Notamacropus eugenii: one gene and its partners. The protein of the gene in region 2 purifies or fractionates together with the protein of the main gene of each other region. This does not show direct contact. Links are inferred from orthologs where the notes say so. Each region holds a gene or a part of one and is shown on either strand. Other genes may lie near its edges. The genes, in order: DPF2, BCL7C and ARID1B.

Region 1 (7,883 bases), on a different chromosome or scaffold from region 2:
CTCTCCCTGTGAGGAGCAGGGAGGCACCTGATACACCCTGTTGGTCATCTCCCCTTCTCCCAGCTCACCTTGGCTTTGCCCTTGCCCCGGCGCTTGGGTGTGTCTTCCTCATAGTCCTCATCATCCAGATCATCCAGAAAGTCCTCAGGCTCCAGGATCCGCTGAGGGAAGGGGAAGATAAGGATGGGTGGGGAGAGGAGCAAGGATGCTCACAGCATCTGTGGGGAGGGGGCGCCATCCAGACAGGCATGGCACATGCCCCCCTGCCCATTCTCAGCTGTTACTCTGCCAATGGGAGGCAAACGTAACTGGGAAGCTTCTCGTTCCTTTCCCAGGGTTCCCACTGAATTTGGGGAAAGCCTGAAGTTGACAGAATGCATTTTTCTTAGACACTTCAGGGAATGACATGGCCTGCCCCTCTCCCACTCCGAAAGTCCATCTGGCTGGTTTAACCCAGGCTGCTCCAGCATCCTTCCAATGAGGGGTCCCTTGTCCCTGTGAGGTCCCTCCGTTGGTACCTTCCTCGCCCTGCTGTTAGTAACTGGGAACTCTCCCAGGCTGTCATCATCCGCCTGAGGATTGGGGGCACCCCGCTTCTCAAGGGGGTCGGTGCGCAGTAGGGCCTCCAAGCTGCTCCCATCCTGGGAGATAAGTCCTTCCTTCTTCAGGGTCTGGTCTGTGTCTGGAAGGAGAGCGAGGCTACACTGAGATATGGATGGGCACAGGTAGTCATGCCCATTGGAAGGAAAGGGCCCTCATTCACCTCTGACCCCCCAACTTCCCAGGATCCCACAGTCTCCAGGTTTCCCCTTTCAGTCTGTCTCTTAGCCCCAGAAACTGACCATGGCACTACTTGAAGAGGAATACTGCCCCTACCTGGCTTGATGGATGGGAAGGTGAGTCGGGGGTCTTCAGGAGGGTGGGCTCGGCGCTTTTTTCGCCAACGCCGGGCAGGATAAGAGTACAACTGCCCTGAGGCCAGCCCTGTGAGAGATGATCGGGGTCAGTAACCTGAGAAGGAGAATGCCTTCTGGACCAGGAGATGCCCGCTCACTCTGAGGCTGGGGTAAATGTTGTGGAGGCAGGGAAGAGATTCCAGACAACAGGTAAGACTGTTGGAAATTGGGTGGGGAAAGATGGAAGCACAAAAAAGAAAAAAGAAAGTGAAGGGGAACCAGGTGCTGTCTGTCAACAGACTAGGGAGAACAAAGGAAGCCAGAAGGGCTGCCTGTCCTTCTGCTTCCCTGGGCCTCCCATCAGCCCAAGCTAGAAGCTGTGTGCTCAGCGGGCTGGCCCTCACCTGGCCCCCGGTGCCGCTTTTCCATCCAGATGTAACAGTTGCTCTGGGCCACTCCAGTCTGGGAGTCGAGGAAGGGCAGGCGCACGCTGCGTTCGGCGCAGAGGCGGGCGTTGTAATTGTGGCACTGTTCCATGGCATCTCGGTAGTACTGCTCCCCCAGGCTGTAGGGGGACAGGAGGGGCTTCAAGGGAAGGCTCAGAAAGCTGTCTGGGACCCTTTTGACCTGTCTGTTCCCTCTTCTACCTTAGAGGACACCAGCTGAGCCAAGTCAAATGTCACCAAGAGGAATCAAGCTGGGCCCCAGGGGCCTCTGGGTGTCCTGGCTGGGAAGGCCCAGAACATAAACCACCTCAAACCCCACACCATGATCTGATGAGCTCTCAATAATTTGGTGCTTTGAGCAACTGGGAAAAATCCCCACCCCCAAACCAAAACAAACAGAAAGGCAGCAGCAGAAATGCCACCAGCCCAGCTTAATTCAATGAGCTGTAATTACTGTAATTTGAGGTAGGCCTCTTATGTGAGGAGGAGGCAATGGGTCCATATTAGCTGGCTTTCAGAAATCGGCCTCCACATTCTCACCATCAGAGAATAAAATTGGATAAACAAGGCTAAAGAGCGCAGTTCCTTTGTTTCCACTGATGGGAATTGAGAGTGACGTTCAGAAAGAAATGGAAGGTGAGCAGGGAGATCCTGGAGCCTTCAGGTTGTGTGGGTACCTCAGGCATACACCAGGAGGTGGGCCACACAGCTTTTTAAAGAACACTATGTATTTGGGAAAGGGCAGAGAACATGGCTCCTAATGAGTTGGGGGACAGGGGAGGGAGAACTCAGCAAGGGATCCCTGGACAGAGAAGGGTCAGATCCTGTTAAGCAGCTAAGAGAGAGATGGGTGTTTGGGGACAATGGGTGCTACCCTTACGAAGAGATCTCCTTTTCATTTCTTATGCCAGGGAGAGAGAGTCCCAGCTCAGGAGCCCATCACAAATAAAGCCCAGAAGTGTCCTGTTTGTCAAATTAAGACTAAACTGTCAGATAACTAAGTACTCCCCCCCAAACAAAAACCAAAACAAACCAGCCTGGTGATAGCATGGCAAGGGGACAACAGCTGCTTCTCTGGGTGGGGATCAGGAACAGGAAAAAGAAGGTGGAGTTCCCTTCCTTGGAAGAGAAGCCTGGTCAATAGACTTTGACTGTCATCAGCAGCCCCCAGCAGGGGGCTAAGCAGGTACTAAGGAGGAGGTGGATGGCTCCCCATTGCCAGGGTGCCAGGGTATCAGGAACCCCAACCCCACCCCCCAAGACTACCTCAGAGGTGAGATGGAGAAACCAAGGCCTGTCTCAGGAGATACCCTGCCAACCCCCTGAACCCCACCTGAAGGTGCCTGCTGCCACCCATCCAAAACAGGCCTACCCCAAGAAACTTCCCTTTTTTAGCTTTTCTTTCCCTCTTGCCTTCTTTCCATGCTCCCCTTGGGATCTAGAAGAGTCAGCTTTTCTCAGAACAACTGGATTTCCCTCTACGTCAGTATAAAATCGGTGAAACTGCCTCTGGGCCCTGTGGGGTGCTGGGTACAAACCCAAGGAAAAGGATGGAAAAGGGGGGAGAGAACCTTTGTGTCAGGAAGGACAGAGTGGGAGATTAGCATGATCCTCTCTGAACTGAGGGAAATGCCAGCCTGAGGAGAGACTGGGGAAAAGGAGTGGGCACATCAGAGAGGATGATGATGGAGTGGGATGGGTGGGTGGCTGAGCAGAAAGGAAGCCTGCCGCCCCCTCCAACTAACCCAGGAGAGGGAGGGCACCCAGCTGAATGGCAGTGGGCATGCTCTCCCTCATCAAAAAGGCTCCCGTCCAGGGAGCAGCTTGCAGCCTACCATAAAGCAAGGACAGAGGCCTGAGAACCCTGGAAAAACCCTCTCTTCCAACTCCCTGCACCCGCTTAAAAAGGAACAGCTGGAAATCTAGCTGGCACCTAGAGAACAGGAGTTCTGCTGACCCACTCCTGGGCGAGGTGGAGTGAATTCAAGGCCCACTTCATGCTAAGCTCCCAGGTAAGATGCCAAGGCCACGCCACCTTTCACGGCTGCCCGCACTTCTGAGATGCCTCTACCCCTGGCCAACGGCATGAAGCAAGCTCCTCAGGATTCAAGGAAGAGCCCCTGGCCTGCCCCCTGGGAACAGGAGGATCCTGCCATACGGCCGGCCCTCCTTCCTTTCTTCAGGTGGGTCAGGCCCAAGAGCTGCAGCCTTCCCTGGCACCCGGTTTCAGCATTCATTCCAGAACCCCAAGCAGGGGGGACCCCCTTTGTATTTAAAACTCCCCTATTGGGTGAACAGGTGCCCCTTTCCTTCCTTCCCAAAGCGCATCCTGTGGCTCTGCGTCTGGCCGGGGGTGTTCGTGCCAGGCCCACCTCCTGAGGACCCCGTAGGGCAGCCCAGGCCGCCCCCCGGGGGTCCTCCCCAATCCCCCGAGGACGAGCCTCAGCACCGGGCAGGGACTGTGGAGGGCGGGGGCGCCCGTCCAGGCCCCGCTCTGTGCCTCAGTTTCCCCATCTGTCAAATGGGACGTGGGACCGTGGTTGTCTCTAGGATCCCTCCCGCTGACTCTCTCCGTGACCTTGGCCCTGGCACTGCCCGCGTGCCTCAGTTTACTTCCTCGGTCAGGCGAGACGACCCCCCCTTTAAGGTCCCTTTCCAGGCGCCGGAGCTCGGGCCTCAGTTTCCCCCTCGGGGGCGCGCCTGGCTGGAGCGGGGCCCCGCGCGCGCCCCCGCTGGAAGTGCTCGCGCCCGCAGCTGCCACGCGCCCCGGCCCGGCGCCCAACGGCCTCGTCCGGGCCCGGCCGCCCCGCGCCCGCCCCGGCGGCGTCTCCGCGCACGCCGCCGCCACGCCCCCCTCCGCGGCCCCGGGCCCGCCCCCCCCGCCCGCCCCGGCTCTGAAGAGACGGCGGTCGCCACTCACAGCTTCACTACATTCTCCACCACGGCCGCCATCTTCCCTCCTCCTCTCCCTCAGCCCGGGAGCCCCCGGGGTCGGAGTGCGCAGGCGCCCAGCCCGAAGCGCGTGCCCGCGCGTCCGCACGCTCCCCGCTCCCGCCCCCGCGGCGACCCCAGCGCGCAGGCGTGCAGAGAGGAGGACAAGGCTGCCAGCGCGCAAGCGCCGGGGCCGGAGAGCGCGCCCGCACCGCGGCGCAGCGCGCAGGCGCCGATTCCGAAGGCCTGACGCGCTCCACCCCGCCTTCCCCAAAGCTCCAAACAGAAGCTCTCTCCGTCTCCTCCGCCTCCACGTAGAAGCCGGCTCGTAGTTCCCTGCTCCAACGCGCAGGCGCCAAAAAGGTCGGCCATCTTTCCCACTTCCCCAACCCCCCCCGCCCCCGCCGCCCCAGCTCCATCGCGCAAGCGCGGTAATTTTCCCATTAGCAGGAGCCGAGCCAGTACCGGGTAGGAGGGAACAGAACCAAGCCAGTGCGCACGCGCGGTTTGAGCCTGTGACTCCAGGAAAGCGACAAAAGCCTTGGGACTGCAGTGAGTCCCTTGCCTCGGGCCGGGGGGGCCCTTTTCCCCTTCACCTCCAGCGTCCTCTGGGGGCTCCTCAATTGTGGAAGGGACCCCCAGGGTGGGAGCGAGGAGGGGAAAGTAGCTGCAACTGAAAACAGTAACTCAAACCTAAACTTTTTCCTTTGCCGTGGGCAGCCAGCATTTATTAAACGCCTACTGTTTACCGGGCACCTGCTAACCTGGGCATATCCAGAAGGGCAAAAACCGGTCTGCCCCCTGAGGACCGCCCTGCCTCCCATTTTTCCGCCCAGGAATTCGCGGGAACAGGCTCGTATACAAACATACAAAGTTGCCCTTATTTTAAAAGTTACATTGTATCTCCTTTGCAACTTTGTATCCATGCCTGTTTTCTTCCATTTTCACACGGATTTCATTTCCAAACATGACCATGAAGATAATGGTAGTGGAACAAACAGGCTTCCGGGGGGGAGGAGGGGGGAAGATTTGCACAAACACTTTTAAGTTAAATCTGATTATTAACACTTTTAAAATGTAGTCAATTAAGAAACCAACGACAAATCAAGCGCTGATTTGTAGGGATTGCCGGTTTCTGAGGTGTAAGAATTCACCTGCCTTGCCGGCTCTGTTAACAGAGAATTAGAAGGAAAGAAAAGAAAACGGTTTAGCCAAGCTATCCATGCACCAGCTTGTGTCTGGCAGGAGCTGCAATATTCTACACTCATAGTCTCGTCAAAATCACTTCGATCCAATTCACCTGCATGTCATAGCATCACCTCCCTGATGTCATGGTCCTCTTCAAGAACAAAGGACAACAACATTGTTGTTAATCAGTTCAAACCCTCTTTTATTTATTTATTTATTTTCAAGGCAATGGGGGTTAAATGACTTGTCCAGGGTTACACAACTAGGAAGTGTCAAGCGTCTTAAGCAGGATTTGAACTCAGATCCTCCTGACTCCAGGGCTGGTGCTCTATCCACTGCACCACCTAACTGCCCTAAACCTCTGATTTATAATTTTTTAATATCGAAAAAATTCCCAAAGTTAAAAAATTTTATTGATGCTCAGTGGAGAGAGCACTCATTGACCTTGCGGTCACAGGACCAGAGATGAAATCCTAGAAATAATTTACCACACAAGTGAACCTTGGTAAATCTCTTAATGGTGACTTCTCTGGGCCTCAGTTTCCTCAGCTATAAAATGAGTATTTGAAGCCAGATGACTCCTAAGTTTCCTTTCAGGCCTAGATCTAGAAGTATAAATTTTTGCTGACTCTAACCCACTTTCAAGCTCAGGGTGATTGGATTTGATGCCCTCTGACCATCTTTCTGCAATGCTGCTGAGGGCTAACTTGTTCATCCCCACCCTCTGCCTCTGACTTTGCTTCTCTACTTTGGATTCTGACTAGGTAGATCAGGGTAGGGAGGGACCCCTAGACACACCCCAGTAGTCTCTGGTCAGGTTTCTGCCATAGGTATCATCCCTTCCCTAAGCTATGACTTTTACCTCTTGTTCCACTAAAATCCCACCTTCTACCTGAAGGCTTCTAGATGCGCCTTTAATGCCATTGTCTTCTTTGTTGGTTCATAGTTGTCTGCACATCATCTCCCCCATGAGACAGTACACCCCTTAATAGCAGGGGCTGTAGCATCCTCAGCACTTAGCACAGTACCTGGCATCGTTTGGTATGTGCTTAATAAAGTTTATTAATTGACTGTGCTGGGAAAAATAATCAATCCATACTCTGCTATTCCTCAAAAGGATGAACTCCTCCATTGTTTGTACCATCCTGAAACTTCCCAGATCCAAATGACACTCTCTGGGCTGCCGCTTTCCTTATTAGGATGGAGGAACCGAGGAACCAAGTAGCAGGAGGCCTCACAGCCAGTATTCCAGGGTCCCAATCCCCCACCTTCCCTAAGCAGATCTGGAAAATGTGCCAGATCTAATCTGGATGGAGAAATCCATGAAAAAAAATCATATTGAGTTGTTTTGCCAGCCCAATTTGGTCTAGGAAAATAGACAGAAAGGGATCTGGCCAGAAGCCCTCCAGTGTTGTGGACCAGGGTGAAAGGAGGTCAGACCCACCCCTGAGTGGCAGGAGAGGAACAGGTGCCAACACTAATCAGTTCCAGGTCTAAGATCAAGGTGGATGGAGGAGGAGACCTGTTCTCAGGGATGGCATTCTGGGGTAAGGAGCAGCTGAGGAGGGCCTGAGTTGATGTACATAGAGGCAAGCTTAGATGCCATCAGCAGCAGCAGTAGTATGGCTCAGATCTCAGAAGAAGAGCAGGATCTCAGTTCCAGCTTCTTGCCCAGCCTATGGAAGAGTAACCAGGGCAGGAAACTCAGTCTAAAGAGGAGCCTATAATTCTATCACTCTGAACGCACAGAGTGTTCCAGCTGACTGGTAGGGGCTGGTTCCAGCAGCATCTACTGATGCTCAGACCCAAACCGTGGTCAGGAACTTATAGAGCTCAGACTTGGGCTGGGCTGAGGAGGACAACGATTAGATTTTGCTTTGGATTAGACCACTTTGGGAGCACTGAAAGCTTATGGGTCTCCAGCTTGAATTGTCCCTGAGATCCTGGAATAACATAACATTCAGTACCCTAAGAAGACAGCAACAGGACCAGTCCAGATGTTCCCTCCAAAAGCACATAGAGTCTGGCCCTAATACAAGCCTGAAGTCAGGAAATAGGCTGGAAAAATGAACCTGCTGCCCCCCAAAAAAGGATCCCACCATAAAAAGCTATTTTAGTGACAGGGATGCTATCACCAAGGCAGAAGAGAATAACTCCAAAACATCTCCAAGCAAAGCCTCAAGAGAAACAACCTGGGTACACATTCAACTAGAATTCCTGGAAAAGATGAAGCAGGTTTTTTTTGTTTTTTTCTTTAATGAGTTAAAAACATTTTTGCAAATGAAATGAGAGCTATGGAAGAAAGAATTGAAAAGGAAATGAATAGCTTGGCAGAAGAGGCATCAAATCTGCCCAGGCAACAAACTCCTTGAAAATTAGAAAGGAACAAATTGAGTTAATTGAATTAAAGATATATGTACAT
Region 2 (7,883 bases):
TTGAATTTCGATGCATGGCATAAACTTCCCTCCTACCTTCTACCAGTTTCATTTGTGCCAGTATTAATGTTTCTGTCTCATCAGCACTCATCGGCTTGTCAGAGAAGGCTGGTGAGGGTGAGGTGGGAGGGGGGGTGGGGGTGGGGGGATAGGGTGGGGGATGGAAGGGAGCCTGCTAGGCAATGGAAACATAAAGCTTTTGGTGATTAACAGCTTGATCTGAATGGAAAGCTGACAGGAGGTGGATTTTCCTCTACATATGTGGGAATGAGTTCTCATCTTTCTTATTTCTAATTCTGAAGCTGCCTACCCTTTAAGACAAAGCCAAGGTTGGTCTGTTGTCAAGAACTCTAGAATGAGAATCCGTGGTCCTGGATTCTAATCCTACTTCTAACATTGATTCACTGTGTGACCCTGGGCAAGTCCTATCCACTTCTCAGCTTCTTCTTCTGTGTAATAGTGGGGCTGGATTAGATGGTCTTCCCAGGGCTTGCCCCTAAAATGGAATAATTCAAAGGGTATAGAGTAATCTTTCCCATTCTTCCCCATCCCCTTTTCCACCCCACCACCTCCCACCTCTGTACTCACATATTCCTGAAGCAGCTGCTCAGCATAGCTAGTGAGGAGTCTTGCAAGACTGTGGGTCTGACGGATCTTGGCCTCAAGGTGGGAGAAAGATGAGGCCGAATGGGACTGTAAGTCCACTGGAGGGGACAGGGGAGGATGAGGAGGAATCAAAACCCAGGTCCCCTGACATAACAGATCTCCCTTCTTCCCATAACATACTATTTTTAGTGTCTTATTGGTGGCTTGATTCCACATTCTCACCTTATACCAATTGGGGCTGTAGTCCTATCTTCCCCTACCCTAATTATCTGAAAGAAGAAATTGATCTACAGGAGCTGGAGGTAGGGAAGCAAGGAGGTGTGGGGCCTGGACAGGAGACTTGAATGACTATATTGCAGATAATCACAATTCCTAGGTGATTATGTGTTATAATACCTGGAGTACCCTTTGATAATACCAACTACAGTTTCAAATCCTGACAAGTTGACTGATTAATAACTTGAATTGGCCTTAGACTCCTCTGAATTGGGAGTTCAGTTACTTAAGGGATTAGAAAATTTTAATTCTTAACAGTTTATAACCTAGTCCCACTGTATACATCACCAAAGACAAGAAGGGGAGATGCTAGGACAGGAGTTCCTAACTTTTTTGTATGTCATACTCTTTTGGCAGCCTGGTAAAATCTATGGACCCCTACTCAGAATTACATCTTTAAATTCATACAATAAAATGGATAATTAATTATATCAAAAGTTATCAAAAAATTAAAACAAAACAAGTTCATAGACCTCAGGTATAGAAAACACTTGACTACACATTCTGGCTTCACTTTACTCTTGACTAGGAGAAAACTACATTTCCCAGGATGCAAAGAACTTAGGCAGATGCTAGGCACATGGTGCTTAATATTGTAGGGGGAGGACTAGTAAGAAGGAAGCGACATGCAAAGGTGACCAAGTTCTTTAACCCATGTCTGGCCCCAAAGACCTATCACCACATCTTTTGCTGTTCAGCTCTCTCTCTCTCTCTCTCTCTCTCTCTCTCTTTCTCTCTCTTTCTCTCTCTCTCTCTGTCACACACACACACACACACACACACACACACGCGCGCGCGCGCGCGCACACACACGCACGCACACACACACACACACACACACACACACACACACACACACACACACACACACTCGTCAACTTTCTTCCCAAGACCCTATCTCTCTTGAGTACTCGAGTAGCTTATCAATTAGCTCTGGTTCTCCTTTATAAAGAGCAAAGAGCTTCCTTGCATTCTACCCTCCCCCACCTCGATCTCCTTCCTTTCCCTCCCCCCCAGCCCCCCCCCCCCACTCCCAGTCATTAATTGACCATCCTGCTCTATTCAAACTATGAGACTTCAGCCAGAGGCTGGTATTTTTGCCAAAGACTCTCAACCCCACACTCTTTGCCCCTCTTCAACATATAAGTTGTTAAGGTGAGCCCACATCTCACTTCCACAGCCCCACTTCCACTTCAAGTCCTATCCTTTTAGTTTCCTCCTCCAAGTCCTTCCCCATTTTCTTAATCAGATCCCTTTCCTTTCTCAGAATCCATCCATTTGGCTGTTTAGCCACTAAGCTGTCCTTTTCAGAACACAAACATTACATTACAGCCCCAGGCACCTAACTTGTAGGACTGAACCCTGCTCCTCCTATTAACCTGCAGTCTTGCCCAGTTCCCAGCTTTCTCTTCTAGACCCAATTTTTCCAAGTCCCAGAAGTCCCTTACCCTTGTTTCCCTCCCTCTGGCTCATGTTGGCCCCCTCCGTCCCCTGGCTGGTCCCGGTTCCCTACATGCCCCCTCCTCCCCTTCCCAGAGAGAAGAAGAAGGGAGGGAAAAGGGGGGTAGGGGGCGTGGTCCACTATCAACCAATCAGGGGCCACCCCCAAACTCCCCCCACCTCACCCCAAGCCCAGATTCCAGGGCCCTGAGCTCACCTTTTAGCCCTGCCCTGAGGAGCGGAGAAAGGCCTGGGAGCGAGAATATAGGTCTTGGGAAGATAAAAACCATAAGGATCTTGGGGCGCTCCCTCCCAGAGAGCTTCAACTTTTCTCCTAGTCTAGGAATTGGATTGAGAACTGTCACCTTGCTGATGAGGTCACCCAGACAGCAAAGGGGCAGGGACTGTCAGAGTTCTGAGAGGGCAGTTGAGAGGAAAGAAGCTAGGAGTTGGGGTGGGGGTTGGGGGGAAGGAAGAGGAGGACTCCTGGGTTCAGGGAGGGAACTGGCATGCCTGGAATTCAAAGAATGTACCTACTGGATAGCTTTCCTGGGGATACACCAAGTGAACTACCCCCAGGAGTTGGGGGGTGGATGGAGGAAGGGGAAAAGATTTGCGAGGTTGTTGGAGAAGGTGGCACCGGAAATGTATTATAGTCACAGGGATGTGCAGACACACACCAAGAGATCTACTACCATATTCTTGAACAGATAGTCACATCTCAATCTCACCAATTAGACAGTAAAGCAAACTGATAGACAGACACATTTTAAAAGGATATCTGATATATTATGGGCGCCTGCCCAGGAATGAAACAGTGGTATCCACAAACACTTAGATCCACGGCACAACCCCACTTGCTGACTCTTAAACCAGCACCCACAGATGCTGTGCAGAGTGAGAGACATGTTTCCTGAAGGACTTTCACAAACATGCTAGGGAAGAAGATATACAAGTACCCCAGTTTGATACAATTGCATTAATGCCCACAGTGATACATAATCGCCAACTGATACACATATACACGCACATGCACATAGAGGCTGAAACTCCACAGGCACAAGGGGGCAGTCAAAGGAACTTAAAACGAAATCGAGTAGGGACCTCCCCTTCCCCCTGCCCCTAGCCCTGGCCCTGCCTCTACGGCCAGGCCCTGGTCCTGTCTCTGGAGAGCAGGGGGCGCTGTGGGGGAGCCAGAGTGGGCGGGGAAACAACTCAGCACAGGGGGCGGAGGGTCTGGTCCAGGGGACTACTGCTCCTTGGTTTCCTGGCTGCAGCAGGGAAATCCCCAAGCCAGAGCAGAACTAAAAGGCGGCTGGGGCAGGGGCGGGCTTAGAGGAGAAGCCAGAAAGAAGTGACAGGGAAGGAGACAGACACTGACGACAGGGAGCCGAAGAAAGGGAAAGAGAGACAGTGAGGGAGGCAGGAAGAGTGACTCACAGAGAAAAGCGAAGACGACAGACAGCACTGGGAAGGGAGGAGAGCAAAGAAAAAACATTTTTGTTTTTAAAAGCAGGAAGACAGGATGGAAAACCAAGAGGGAAAGAAAGAGAGGGAGTGAATCAAACCGACGAGGAGATTGAGAAGTGGGGAAACAGGAAGCCAGTGAGCAAGGGGTAGGGGGAGAAAGGGATAGCTTAGGAGGAAGAGAGAACTGAGTAAGGCAGAGAGGGAGCTCCAGGGGAGAAGGGCACCAAGTGACCCAGACAGAGGTGTCTGGGGAGTCCAGGAAGCATCCCTAGTGCAAGCCAGGTGGGCCTCGGGAGAAGCGACACCTCAGTTCTCATGGCGGGCCGGACGGTGAGGGCTGAGACCAGGAGCCGGGCCAAGGATGACATCAAGAAGGTGATGGCAACCATCGAAAAGGTCCGGAGATGGTGAGAATGGAGGCCCAGGGACTGGAAGGCTTGGGTTTGAGACAGGGAGGAAGGGAAGGGATGTGGGGTAATAACATGGAGTGAGAGCAGTGGGATGAAGGTTTCAGACAGACCACCCTCCAAAGCTTTGGATATCTAGGTCCATCCCAATTAGACTGCTGTTTTTCCCTTCTCCAAAGATAGCTGTGCCATAGAACTGTGTGTTTTTATGTGTTGGTGAGATGTGTGTGTGTGTGTGTGTGAGAGAGAGAGAGACAGAGTGAGAGAGAAAGAGAGACAGAGAGAGAGAGAGAGAGAGAGAGAGAGAGAATCTCTGGCTCTGCATGACCTGGCTCTGTGGATCACCCCTAGGGAGAAACGCTGGGTGACAGTGGGAGACACTTCCCTCCGTATCTACAAGTGGGTGCCTGTGGTGGACCCACATGAGGAGGTGAGAGAATTCTATTTCCCTTATGACATACTGCCTTCTCCACTATTCCCTTTCTTTCTTTTCTTTGTAACATTATCAGTCTTTTCCCCCAAACCAGATTCCCCCCCTTTACTTGGTCTTTTTTCAGTGTCACTACCATGTATCCCAGTCTCCCCTAAACATTGGATTCTTCACTCTCATATCCTATATGTTACTAAGCTCTGCTGAATCTTTTCACTGCAGTAACATTTGCATCTGTACTTTCCTTTCTATTTCTACTTGCTACCACCCTAGTGCAGGCTCTCATTATTATCCACCTAGGTTATTGCAATAGCCTCTAAATCTATCCTTCATATTGCTACCAGATGTTTCCCACCCCACCCCCACCCCTCAGCTTGCCATATCTTGTCATGCCACTCCATTGCCCAAAATCTTCCACGGTTTCTTGTTGTTGTCTATCCATTGAAGGTCGAAGCTCTTTTGCCTGGCATTCAAGGCCCTCCACAGCTAGGCATCACCCAGCTTTGCACACTTCCCCCTACAGCTTTCCTCCATCTTCACTGACCGCTTAAGCCAAAGTAGATTGCTTTCTGTCCCCAATTTCTTGCACCTGAAAATGTCTCCATCCCCTTCTCACCTGTTGAATTTTTACCCATTTTAAAAGCCTAACTCAAATATTACCTCTACCATAAAGCTTCCCTGGCTTTATCAGTAACAGCTGCACTCTCCCTCTCCCCAAACCCATAAAATAATCTTTACAAGTATGCAATGAATTGATTATATATTCCTTTGGATTATGTTACATGTGTCCCATTTCCTTAACTGGGCAGCTCCTGGAGGGCTGGTCTCCAATTAAAATTTTTTTTATTCCCTCCATACCTTAGCACAATTCCCAGAACACTGGAGGTACCTAATGAATGTTTGTTGAAAAGAGCTGAATTCCTTCAGGATCTGACTCTTTTCCCTTTCTTGGGAAACTTTCCTGCTCCCTCTCCCAACTAATTCATTCATCTTTTCTCTACCACTCTCGAACTACCTTGCTCCTTTTCCTTTCTGTAGGAACGTCGACGGGCAGGAAGTGGGGCTGACAGGCCCCGAGTCAGGGAACGGAGGGGTCGGGGAGCCAGTCCAAGAGGGGGTGGTCCCCTCATCTTGCTTGACCTCAGTGGTATGTAGGGGTGTCTGGAGGGTGGGAGAATGGAAGTCTTAGGTTGGGGGAAGGGAGAAGAGATCCTAAGGTAGAGGAAGCAGAGGCACCCCAAGGCCCACCCCTCCCAGCCTCTTTTCCCAGCAGATGAGAACAGCAATCAGAGCTTCCACTCAGAGGGCTCCCTGCAGAAGGGCACAGAGCCCAGCCCAGGGGGAACGCCTCAGCCTAGCAGACCAGCCTCACCTGCTGCTCCACCAGATGGGACTTCTGAAGATGTTCAGCCCCCAAGACTGGGCCAGGAAAGAGGTAAGAACTAAACAACTCCTCCATTGGCTTCCCACTGTGATCTTTAGCTCCTTGTTCCCTGGGGTAACCTGCTTTCTTGTTATTCCAGATCCAGGGGGTGTGACTATGGGTGGGACAGATGAACCCCCAATGCTCACTAAGGAAGAACCTGTGCCTGAGTTATTGGAGGCAGAGGTGAGAAAGGCTGGAGGAGGCTGGACTTTGGAGCGGTAGGGAATGAGGGATGTGGAAGGACTGGGGGTTGGAGGGGGCGGGCAAGATCCTTGGGATCTAGGAGAACTTATCCCCAGTTCCTCCTCTCCAGGTTCCTGAAGCTTACCCAGTCTTTGAACCAGTGCCCCCTGTGCCTGAGGCAGCTGTGGGGGAAACTGAAGACTCAGAGGGGGCACCCCCTCTCAAGCGTATCTGTCCAGATGCCCCTGAAGGCAGTCCGCTCCCCCCAGATCCTTGAGCCTAAAAAGCTGATCCATAAACTGTTGTGTCCTCCCTGGCTTTTTACAAATAAAGAACCTTTTGTAGCCAAGTATCCTCTCATTTCAGTTAGCACACCAAGGTTCTGCCGCCCATTCATTAACTCAGGAACCCGCGCTGTCCTAACGATGCAAGGAAAAGTGGACACCAGACATCCATAAATATCCATATTTCTCCTATTGGAGAAGGGAAATGAGGAAGAGGAGAATGAGAAGATAGACTGTGTGCTGGGTCCTATAAGTATTAGGGTTCTTCTCGCTTCTCCTCTTGTGCTCTCCCTTCTACCCTTTCTTTTCCATTTTCTTTCCTTCTTCTATTACAACTTAAATCCTCCTCTGTGCAAGTTCCCCTTTTGATATTTTTAAACATTTCTTTAAATTATGAACTTAGTCACCAACATAAACATTTCGAAATAGAAAGAATGAAATCATATAAGAAACTTTGAATTTGTTATGTAGCTTAAAGAAATACATATTACACTTAACAAGGTAGTAACAAAATCACTATATCCCTTCGGTATTTTTTTTGTTCTGTGCATTTAAAAATGTTTTTATTTATATTCTACTATTTCATGCCTATCAATTTCAACTAATCTAGACCTTCCCTTCAGTATGCCTCTTTTATAAAATTGTTTTCTTCAGTTAACTTTTGCACCTCCTTTTCCATCTGTCCAATTGTTCCTTTTAAAGAGTTACTTTTTCCAGTTAGTTTTTGTACTTCCTTTTCCATTTGTTCAGTTTTCCCAATTAGGTTTTATGCTTCCTTTTCCATTTTTCCAATTTTCTTTTTAAAGACCTGTTCTCTTCAGTCAGTTCTTTTTTCATATTTTTAAAATCATTGTCCAGTTTTTCTTCTCCTTCTCTAATTTGACTTTTAAAATTCTTCCTGAGTTGTTCCAAGAATACTCTTTGGTCTTGAGACCAGTTCATATTCCCTTCTGAAGTTTCAGATGGGAGTACAGTCTCAATGCTGACCTCTTTGATATTCATGTTTTGGTCCTTATCCCCATAGAAAGATTCTATGGTCTTTTCTGCTTTGCTTCTTATGATGGTCACCCTTTTCCTGGCTTTTAAAGTAGATCTCTGTTTCTGGGGCACAGGGGGCTCTGTCCCATAGTTCTTGTGCCTTGAACTTGAGGCTTTGTGTGTTGTAGCCTCTGGTTCTTTCAGCTAGAAGCTAAAATGTTGCAGCTTACCTGGTTCTGGGCTGGCTAATGGGAGAAAGCAGAGGTCAAGTGAAGTCTTTCTGGGTTTCCTGGAGCTAGCTGTGTTAAGTGTGGGGGAGGGGTGGTCTGGCTACAGCAGGTCTCCTCTGCTGAGCTAGAGCTTAGGTAAGTTCAGTGGTTGGT
Region 3 (7,883 bases), on a different chromosome or scaffold from region 2:
TGTTGCTACATCTTCAAGATCAAAACTGATTAAACTAAATGCTCTGATATAAAAATCTTCTGTGATACATCTCAGTTTACTAAGAGTAAAAAGTGTACTGCTTTAACATTAACACATTCTCAAAAAGTATTTCCTTATTAAAATTCTACTTCTCTAAAATTAAAGTTCATGATAACAGCAATGCACAGAACATACAGTCACCAAGGCCGTTTTTTTCCTTAAGGCAAACGGTATGTTATTTCTGTAGATGTTCATTTCATCCTCCCATTTATGAATATTAGTCCTTATCCTTTAAACTTCTAACAGTATTCAACTTTGCATCTGCTAGTAGTACTGCTCAGTTATTATTTGTTGCAAGAATTTTTGTGACTGTACTGCTCAGCACTTCTATTTACATCAGCAGTGCTAAATGCCCAATGGTGAGAGGGGAGCCAATCAGATGGCAGATTAGATGTCAACTCAGAGGCAGCTGTCTGGAGACTATTACAGCCAGTTTACCTCCACAATTCAAATTCCAAACCTTGCAAAGGAGATCAAGTCAGTCTTTAGACTCAGTCTGCTAGCAAGAACAGTAAGTGTGCAGGACGCTCCCTAATCAACCTATGTGATTTGGCTGTTGGGGGAAAAAAAACCACCCTCCCCAAAAGGAAACCCATATAAACAGGCTCCAAAATGATGATCTGATAGCTTATCATTATATTAAGCACATCAAATATCTGTATATTCAATGATCCAAACAAGTACGACTCATGAGAAATTTAGCCCTTTGAGGTCAGCATGTCATTTAAAATGACAGGTTTCAAGAAGCCTATGTAACAAACTGTGGATTTGGCTATTTATGTTATGTAACATAAAATATTTTAATCTATTCCACATCCACCTAGTTGAAATCTGGAATGTGTGTTACCAAACATTCCAACTCAAAATGAAATCAAAAGCAACTCCACGCTAATCATGTAAGGTGTTCGTAACTATAAGAAACGCTTCGATTGTCAAAAAACAAACCTCTTTTTCTCACAATTTCCAACTTTTAGCCTCATGAGCAAACCAAGGCTAATGTGGGCAAACAAGTCAGAAAGAAAGAACTGTTCATGCTTTACCGGATCAAAGCATTTAATAGACCAGCTTAGTCAAGATCCACTTTTAGAATTTACTGGCTTTTAAAAACACTATGGGTTACAAAAGCGCTTCCAGTCGTCCCCACAGCCTTCTGCAGCCTGCTGGTTTCTTGCCATTTTTATAATACGAAGCTAAAGGGGTGAAATAGCGTGTTCATCAATTGTGTAAATAAAATAGCTGTTATTTCCTCAGCGATGCCCCCGAACTAGCCGGAGCCAGACACGGTGTTACCCAACATTTTCTGGTGAGGCAGCTAGGAGTTAAAATGGCTTTGGGAATCTACCCCCGCCTCCCTCCCGGGGGGGAGGGGGGGAAGAGAGAGGGGAAAAAAGTAAATGAGAAAGAAACTAACTAAAGCTCGCCTACGGGTTGAGGGGTGTCTCGAGCCCTAGGAGAAGGCCCTGGTTTTTTCGAGTAGTTACCTGGGATCTGTTCATGGTCTGTCCAGTGTTTCCAGGGCTCATAGCTGGATGATTTCTTTGTTGTGCCGCTGCCCAGCCGGGGTTTGCAGTTCCATACTGGGAGCCCAGATCTTTGCCCATGCCCATGCCCGCCGCTGCCTGCTGGCTTCCTGGAGCTGCCCCCGCCGCTCCCTGCGCCTGGGACTGCTGCTGGCCTGGGGCATTAGGGTTGCCGCTGTAATCGGGGTAGCTGCTGCTGTAGCTCCTCATCATGGGGCTCGGGGAAGTCAGCAGCTGATTGAGGGTCGGCGTGGCCCCCGAAGGGTGCTGGTTCTGCCCGGCGAAGCGCTGAAAGCCTCCCGCGGCAGAACTGGCAGCGGCGGCGGCGGCGGCAGCCTTGCCCAGGCTAGCAGCCCCGCCGCCGCCGCCGCCGCCGCCTCCGCCGCCTCCTCCGCCGCCGCCGCCGCCTCCCGGGCCCATCATCATGCTGCTGCCCTGCTGCCGGGGGGAGCTCAGCACCCCGTAGCCCGAGGACGAGCCCCCATAGCCGCCGCCGCCGCCGCCTCCCGCTGCTGCTGCTGCTGCCGCCGCTGCGGCCGCCGCCGCCACTGCTCCTGCTCCCGCTCCTGCTCCTCCTCCTCCTCCTCCTACTCCACTACCTCCTCCTCCTCCTCCTCCTCCTCCTCCTCCTCCTCCTCCTCCTCCAGCACCGCCGCCGCCGCCGCCGCCACCTCCTCCTCCGCCTCCCGCGCCGGGCCGACCGTAGCCGGGATAATGGTTGTACTGGCTGTTGGGGTAGCCTTCGTGGGAGTTTTGCAAGGGGTCCATGCTGTTGGGGGGCCCGGCGGCGGCGACGGCCGGGTGCATCATCCCCATCCCGGGGCTTTGTTGTCCGCCATGTTGATCAAAGCAAGGCCCGGCTCGGCTGCCTGTGCCGCCGCTCGCAGGGGGAGCGCTGCCATAGTAATTATTAAACTCCGAGACCCCCACCGAGGCGGAGGGGCCGCCGCCGCCGCCGCTGCCGAGGCTACCATTGCCGCCGCCGCCGCCGCCGCTGCCGTTCCCGGTGCTTTGGGGCGGCTGCTGCTGCTGCTGCTGCTGCTGCTGTGGCTGCTGCTGCTGGTGCTGCTGCTGCGACGGCGGCGGCGGCGGCGGCTGCTGCTGCTGCGCGCCCAAAGCTCCCAGGCTGGGGTGCTCGTACCGGCCGCCCATCTGCTCCCCCATTTTGGTCGGGAGCTCTTCCTCCTCTCCCGCCTTGCTCAGCAGCTGCCGCGCTTGGGGCTCGGCCTGATTTCCCAAAACCCCGTCTTTGCCTCCTCCATGTTGCTGGGGCTCCATGTCCGGACTGGGCTGAGCAGCAGCCGCCGCCGCCGCCGCGACAGCAGCAGCAGCAGCAGCAGCGCCGCTGCCCCCCGCTCCGTGGCCGCTGCCCCCCGCTCCGTGGCCGCCGCCGCCGACCGCGACGAGGCTGTGGTTGTTGTTGGAGATGGGCTGCTGCTGCTGCTGCTGCTGCTGGAAGTGACTTAGCTGCTGCTGTAATGCGTGGTGGTGGTGGTGGAGGAGATGGTGAGGATGGTGGTGGTGGTGGTGGTGGTGGGCATGGTGGTGGTGCTGCTGGTGGTGGGGAGGTGCGGCGGGGGCATCGCCGACGTTTTTCAGTTTGTGGTTGGGGAGCAGCCCCGTCTCCATGGCCGGGGCGGACGAAGAGGAGGAGGCACCGGAGGAGGAGGAGGAGGAGGAGGAGAAGACCGCGGCGTTGCCACCTTCCTTGAGGGCCGCCTCGGACGAGCCGCCGCCGCCGCTGCTGCCGCCGCCGCCGCCGCTCTTCGTGTTATTATTACTGGCAGCCGCGGCGGCGGCGGCGGCGGCAGAGCTCGCGTTATTGGCCATGTTCAGTTCATTATGGTGGTGCAGGGGATGGGGAGCTACGTTATTCAAGCCGCCGCCGCCGGGCCCATCGCCGCCGACCCCTAGCATGGATCCCGGTCCCGCCGCTCCGGCTCCCCCCCGCGGGAGATCCTGGGTCAAGTGAGCCGGCCACGGACGCAGAGCGGGGCGCCCCGATCACTGTGCTCCGCACCCGCCGGGGCTGATGCTACTCGCGCGGCCATGATCATTGCAACATCGCGAGTCCAATGTGCCCCCCCGACCCCCCCCCACCCCCCCGAACAAAACAAAAATAAAACAAAAGAAAGGGGAGGGGGAGAGAGAGAGGGGAAGGGAGAAAACAAGGAAGACACTTTTTTAATAAACAGCCGCTCTCGGTCTCCAGTCCACATACCCCCAAAGAAAATAAAAACATCCCCCCTTTACCCTCCCCCTTCCCCCCCGCCCCAAGTCCTGGACCGAGATTAGAAACGATAATAATATCTTACGGTCTATGCCTGTTCTTGCTGTGGGATTTCATGTTGAAAGTTTTTAGCTGAGGTTTAAATGAAACTTTTTTTCTTTTCCTCTCTAACCCGGATATGGGTAAATACACGTCTGACTGAGCCTATCTGGCCCAGCATGGCATGAGAGAGAGCGGAGAGAGCCCGAACAACTATTATCCACTTCTCTCTGATTACCGCCGCGCACTCGCAAAACGCGGACTGGACTTCCCCCTCCCCCTCCGGCACGGTCCCCGGCGCTCCCCGCGGAGCTCCAGCTACCTTCTCCCGTCAGCTCGGGCGGCTCGAGCGGCGGCGCGCGGCGGAGACTCCCGGCGCAGGCACGGACGGGGCAGGCTTTCCGAGCGAGCTCCGCAGCCGCTCCTAACGCCACGGCGCGGGGCCGGAGGGGCCTGCACTCTCCCCTTCTGCATCTGTTTCCCTGCCAACTAGGCATTAATGTGTTTGTTTTCATGTTTAAAAGGAACGATACAAAGGTGGAAAACGGGTCTGACTGGCGGACAAAAGAAGGAGACGGATTGGGGAACAAAGTTGTCTGTCTGGCTCAAAGGTTACACCGCGCTGACTAAAAATAAAAATATTTGGGCAGTCGGGGGGGGGGGGGGAGCGTTAGCTATTTCAGAATTCATTATGTAATTTGCAGGCTGTTAACCCGTTATGCATTGGTCTGAAGTCAGGCAACATGATTGCTACAACTTTACTCAAGCTACGAAATAAGGTGGATTCGTGAATTTTCTGCAGGTTTGCAATGGGGTGCCGTATTTTTATTTTAGAAGAGCGTAGTATATACAGCTCCGTCCAAAACGGATAGTGCTGTGTATGCAGTAAGCGCTCAATAAATGTTTAATTACCAATGTCCACATCTGCCCCAAAGATTTTATTATTAACATAATCTTTGTTTATGGGTCATCTTAGTACATTTGTATGCAAAGCTATCAACAAAAAATAAAAGTTCCTTTCTTGTGCCCATGTGGGGACGTAGGCACACAAATACACGTGTAGGTTTATGTGCATTTCCATTTTACATGCATGTGTTTCCTTGTGTACGCATGTCACATCCGTGTTCCCCATGTGCATACGTATGTATGCATACATGCATGTGTTGTTTTCCGTATACACGGCTGTTTCCCTAGATATATGGGTTGTATGTGCACTCTTGTGTATATACACATGTATACATATATTATTTCCATAATACACATATTGCTGTTCACAAGAACAAACTCCCAAATCTGAAATAGTTTTAGAAAGAAATTTATTAGGTCGTATCTGTATTTCTCCTAGGCACTTTTTATCTCCACTCCTTAAAGGGAAATAATTTTAAAGTTGTGTTGTGTTGTGTGATCCAAACCACTTTTAGAAGAAAGTTTAACTGCCAGTCATAACTGCACCAGCTTGCGCTCATCCTCAATCAGAACACCTCTGTGACACCTTTCATCATGTTTCCAAAGAGAATGTGTAAAATAATCAGCTTTAATATCAATTCCCTGCTCAATGATGTGAAACAAGAGTTATTTTTACAGAGAAGCAAAATCAGACGGCAGTGAGTTTCTATTAAGAAGATCATCTAAACACAGATTAATACAAATGTTTCATACCCTGTTCTCAGGAAAATGACCATAATTGTTTTATAGGATGGGAATAATCTGAATATCGTGACACTGATGTAAGAAACAGCACAACTGTACTAAGGCACTGGTAGGAAGTGTTTAAAACTACAAGTTTCATTAGGTAATATAAAATTATACTACTCTAAAACTAGCAATAAATACCATGTAACCACCATGGAACGTTTCTTTGAATTTCTCTTTCTGCCTTAAAAAATATGAGCGTACTTCACCATTCCGTAGGATTTACCTATCATAAGATCCCTAATTCTTCAACTGTGCATAAAAGTATTCCAGTTTATTTCAACTACACTAGTTATTTTTGTTTGTTTGACCAAGTGTAACTATGTTACATGACTAATAGAAAACGATAGGGTGGAAAAAATTGGTGAGTAATTGTGAGGGAGGGGGGAGTCAGGTGCATACCCAAGGGTCATTATAGACTGTAGAAACAACAAATTGCAATTCTATGCAAACCACTGGAAAGGGGGAGGTATATCATCTTGTAGAAGAGAGAACAGCAGAACTGTAAGGTGAATTCATGCCAAATCATTCTTCAGCTTTTGCCAAGAGAATACTACATCTTTGTTACTGTGCCTTTTTGACATATTTTCCTGGATTTTCTTTTCTATATTCAAGTACATACTAATTATACACATTACACTGTAAGCTGAATTTTTAAGTCTTTCATATGCAAATATAAATATATGTTCTATGTATGTGTTTATATGCATACATATATTCAAAAAATCCATTACATATTTATATTTTTAGACATTTGGGCTCACACCAGAGATATGTACATATAATCATTTTTTATGTTAAAAATATGATAAAATGTATCAAAATAAATCCAAATTATATTACCCATGCTTTGTGGCTTGTTTTCATAACTAACGCTGAGGGAAAATGAGTCACAAAGTTACTATTGACTCTTTTCTGGGAGTGGGGGGAGCATTTATTTCATGTAGACAAATTGTGAAACTGGGGGGGGAAATCAAGAAGTTTGTAGTTTTAAGTTGTTTTAATTCCATTTGCTTCAGCGAGTCAACTAGAAGATTGGAACCAGGAGGCTATAAAATAGAGGCCCTCAGCACAATGAAATCGGTCTGCTATAAAAGGCAACACATGCCAGTTTTTCCTCCCCAATGGCAGATGCCACACCCAAAGCAGACAGAAGGCACTGCAGTCTGTGTAAGTGAAGCCCCACACAAAGCATTGAGGACTCAGTTTTGTCTCAGAACAGGAAGAATTTGCTGATACCTTTTCAGCATCCTTGCTGAAATGAGGAGAAAGTCTATGAACCTGTGGGTTCAGCTTGGGCTTTTCAAATGCACTTTTCCAGGAAAACAAAGTAAAAATCTCTTGTCTTCATTAAGAAATCTAGTATCTTAATAAACAAACTAGGATTACCACCAATCTGTTAGAAAGCAACAAAATCGTATCGTAAAGTCCACCAAGGCACAATCACAACTTGGTTTTGTAATTTATGCCGCCTCTTTTTCCTTAATTTGCTTGCAGTCATGGTATATTCTTCACCCTAGTTTCTTTTCTACAAACTGAAGCAGTGGTAAGCACTGCGTTCATTTTTCTACCAAATCCCTTGCCTATACCACATTCTGCCTAAATTCATGCCCGCAAGAAACACTTTACCAATTCATTGCAAAACAACTAATATGACACCAAAAAATGAAAACAGCACCAAAACCCATTATGCTTCAATTTCGGGTCCTTCAATACGTCCTTCCCAGCTTCAGGTCCCAGCATTTCTCATTTAAGTGAAGGTACTGCCCATTATTTTGTTATTATTTATATTTTATTACAAACTTATTTTTACTTATGATACAGAAAAAACTAATCTTCAAATACTGCTCCTTTGGAATCAGTTTAAGGACATTGCCTAAAGCATTCTTTAATTTGCCTCCATAAAGAACATTTGGGCCAGATGGTAGTTTTAGAATTTCAAAACTATTCTTTTAATGTTGTTAGTACCCCCTTAACTATTCTCGTTGGTTTCTGATTAGTCCCTTTTTGCTATGTTGTTTGGTTTTTCAATGACTCTATATATTCACTACCCCTCGTATTTTTGTACGTAATTGGGAGCTATTTGAAATTATATATAGGAATTATTTTTTTAAAAGAGAAAAAGAAAGCTTTGGAAACTCTCTTTCCTCACAGATTGATGAAAAATTTCAGTGAATGGAGCTTATGGTATTTCCCTACCAATAATAATCAGGAAGGTTTTTGTTTTCTTTTGTTTTTTTAACAATTTTCATGTTTTTAACAATTGCCTTTTTCACTTATAATCAATGAGTACACATGAATACAGGATGTTTCAGCTGTTTTATATCAGCCATGCAACTTAG

What was found.
Region 1: the proteins of BCL7C (region 2) and DPF2 purify together in Homo sapiens (affinity purification with mass spectrometry; 4 studies listed by BioGRID and IntAct, counting the BioPlex papers as one, with this or other methods). This does not show direct contact. The link is inferred for Notamacropus eugenii from reciprocal best matches to the Homo sapiens genes BCL7C and DPF2.
Region 3: the proteins of BCL7C (region 2) and ARID1B purify together in Homo sapiens (affinity purification with mass spectrometry; 4 studies listed by BioGRID and IntAct, counting the BioPlex papers as one, with this or other methods). This does not show direct contact. The link is inferred for Notamacropus eugenii from reciprocal best matches to the Homo sapiens genes BCL7C and ARID1B.

Annotation. Positions count from the first base shown.
Region 1 is NC_092873.1:18,131,917-18,139,799, reverse strand, and holds the start of DPF2 (zinc finger protein ubi-d4), read right to left. Parts: upstream 4,368-7,883; 5' UTR 4,295-4,367; coding exon 4,263-4,294; intron 4,104-4,262; exon of another isoform or gene 3,921-4,103; intron 3,416-3,920; exon of another isoform or gene 3,276-3,415; intron 2,869-3,275; exon of another isoform or gene 2,767-2,868; coding exon of another isoform or gene 2,756-2,766; intron 1,462-2,755; coding exon 1,301-1,461; intron 985-1,300; coding exon 877-984; intron 683-876; coding exon 519-682; intron 162-518; coding exon 69-161; intron 1-68. UniProt on the Homo sapiens protein: Plays an active role in transcriptional regulation by binding modified histones H3 and H4. Is a negative regulator of myeloid differentiation of hematopoietic progenitor cells. Might also have a role in the development and maturation of lymphoid cells.
Region 2 is NC_092874.1:377,802,045-377,809,927, forward strand, and holds BCL7C (B-cell CLL/lymphoma 7 protein family member C), read left to right. Parts: upstream 1-3,553; 5' UTR 3,554-4,107; coding exon 4,108-4,199; intron 4,200-4,550; coding exon 4,551-4,629; intron 4,630-5,667; coding exon 5,668-5,776; intron 5,777-5,899; coding exon 5,900-6,064; intron 6,065-6,152; coding exon 6,153-6,238; intron 6,239-6,368; coding exon 6,369-6,515; 3' UTR 6,516-6,587; downstream 6,588-7,883. Other genes in the region: CTF1 (cardiotrophin-1), read right to left, coding at 589-704, 2,540-2,612. UniProt on the Homo sapiens protein: May play an anti-apoptotic role.
Region 3 is NC_092873.1:250,120,761-250,128,643, reverse strand, and holds the start of ARID1B (AT-rich interactive domain-containing protein 1B), read right to left. Parts: upstream 4,148-7,883; 5' UTR 3,896-4,147; intron 3,616-3,895; 5' UTR 3,498-3,615; coding exon 1,542-3,497; intron 1-1,541. UniProt on the Homo sapiens protein: Involved in transcriptional activation and repression of select genes by chromatin remodeling (alteration of DNA-nucleosome topology).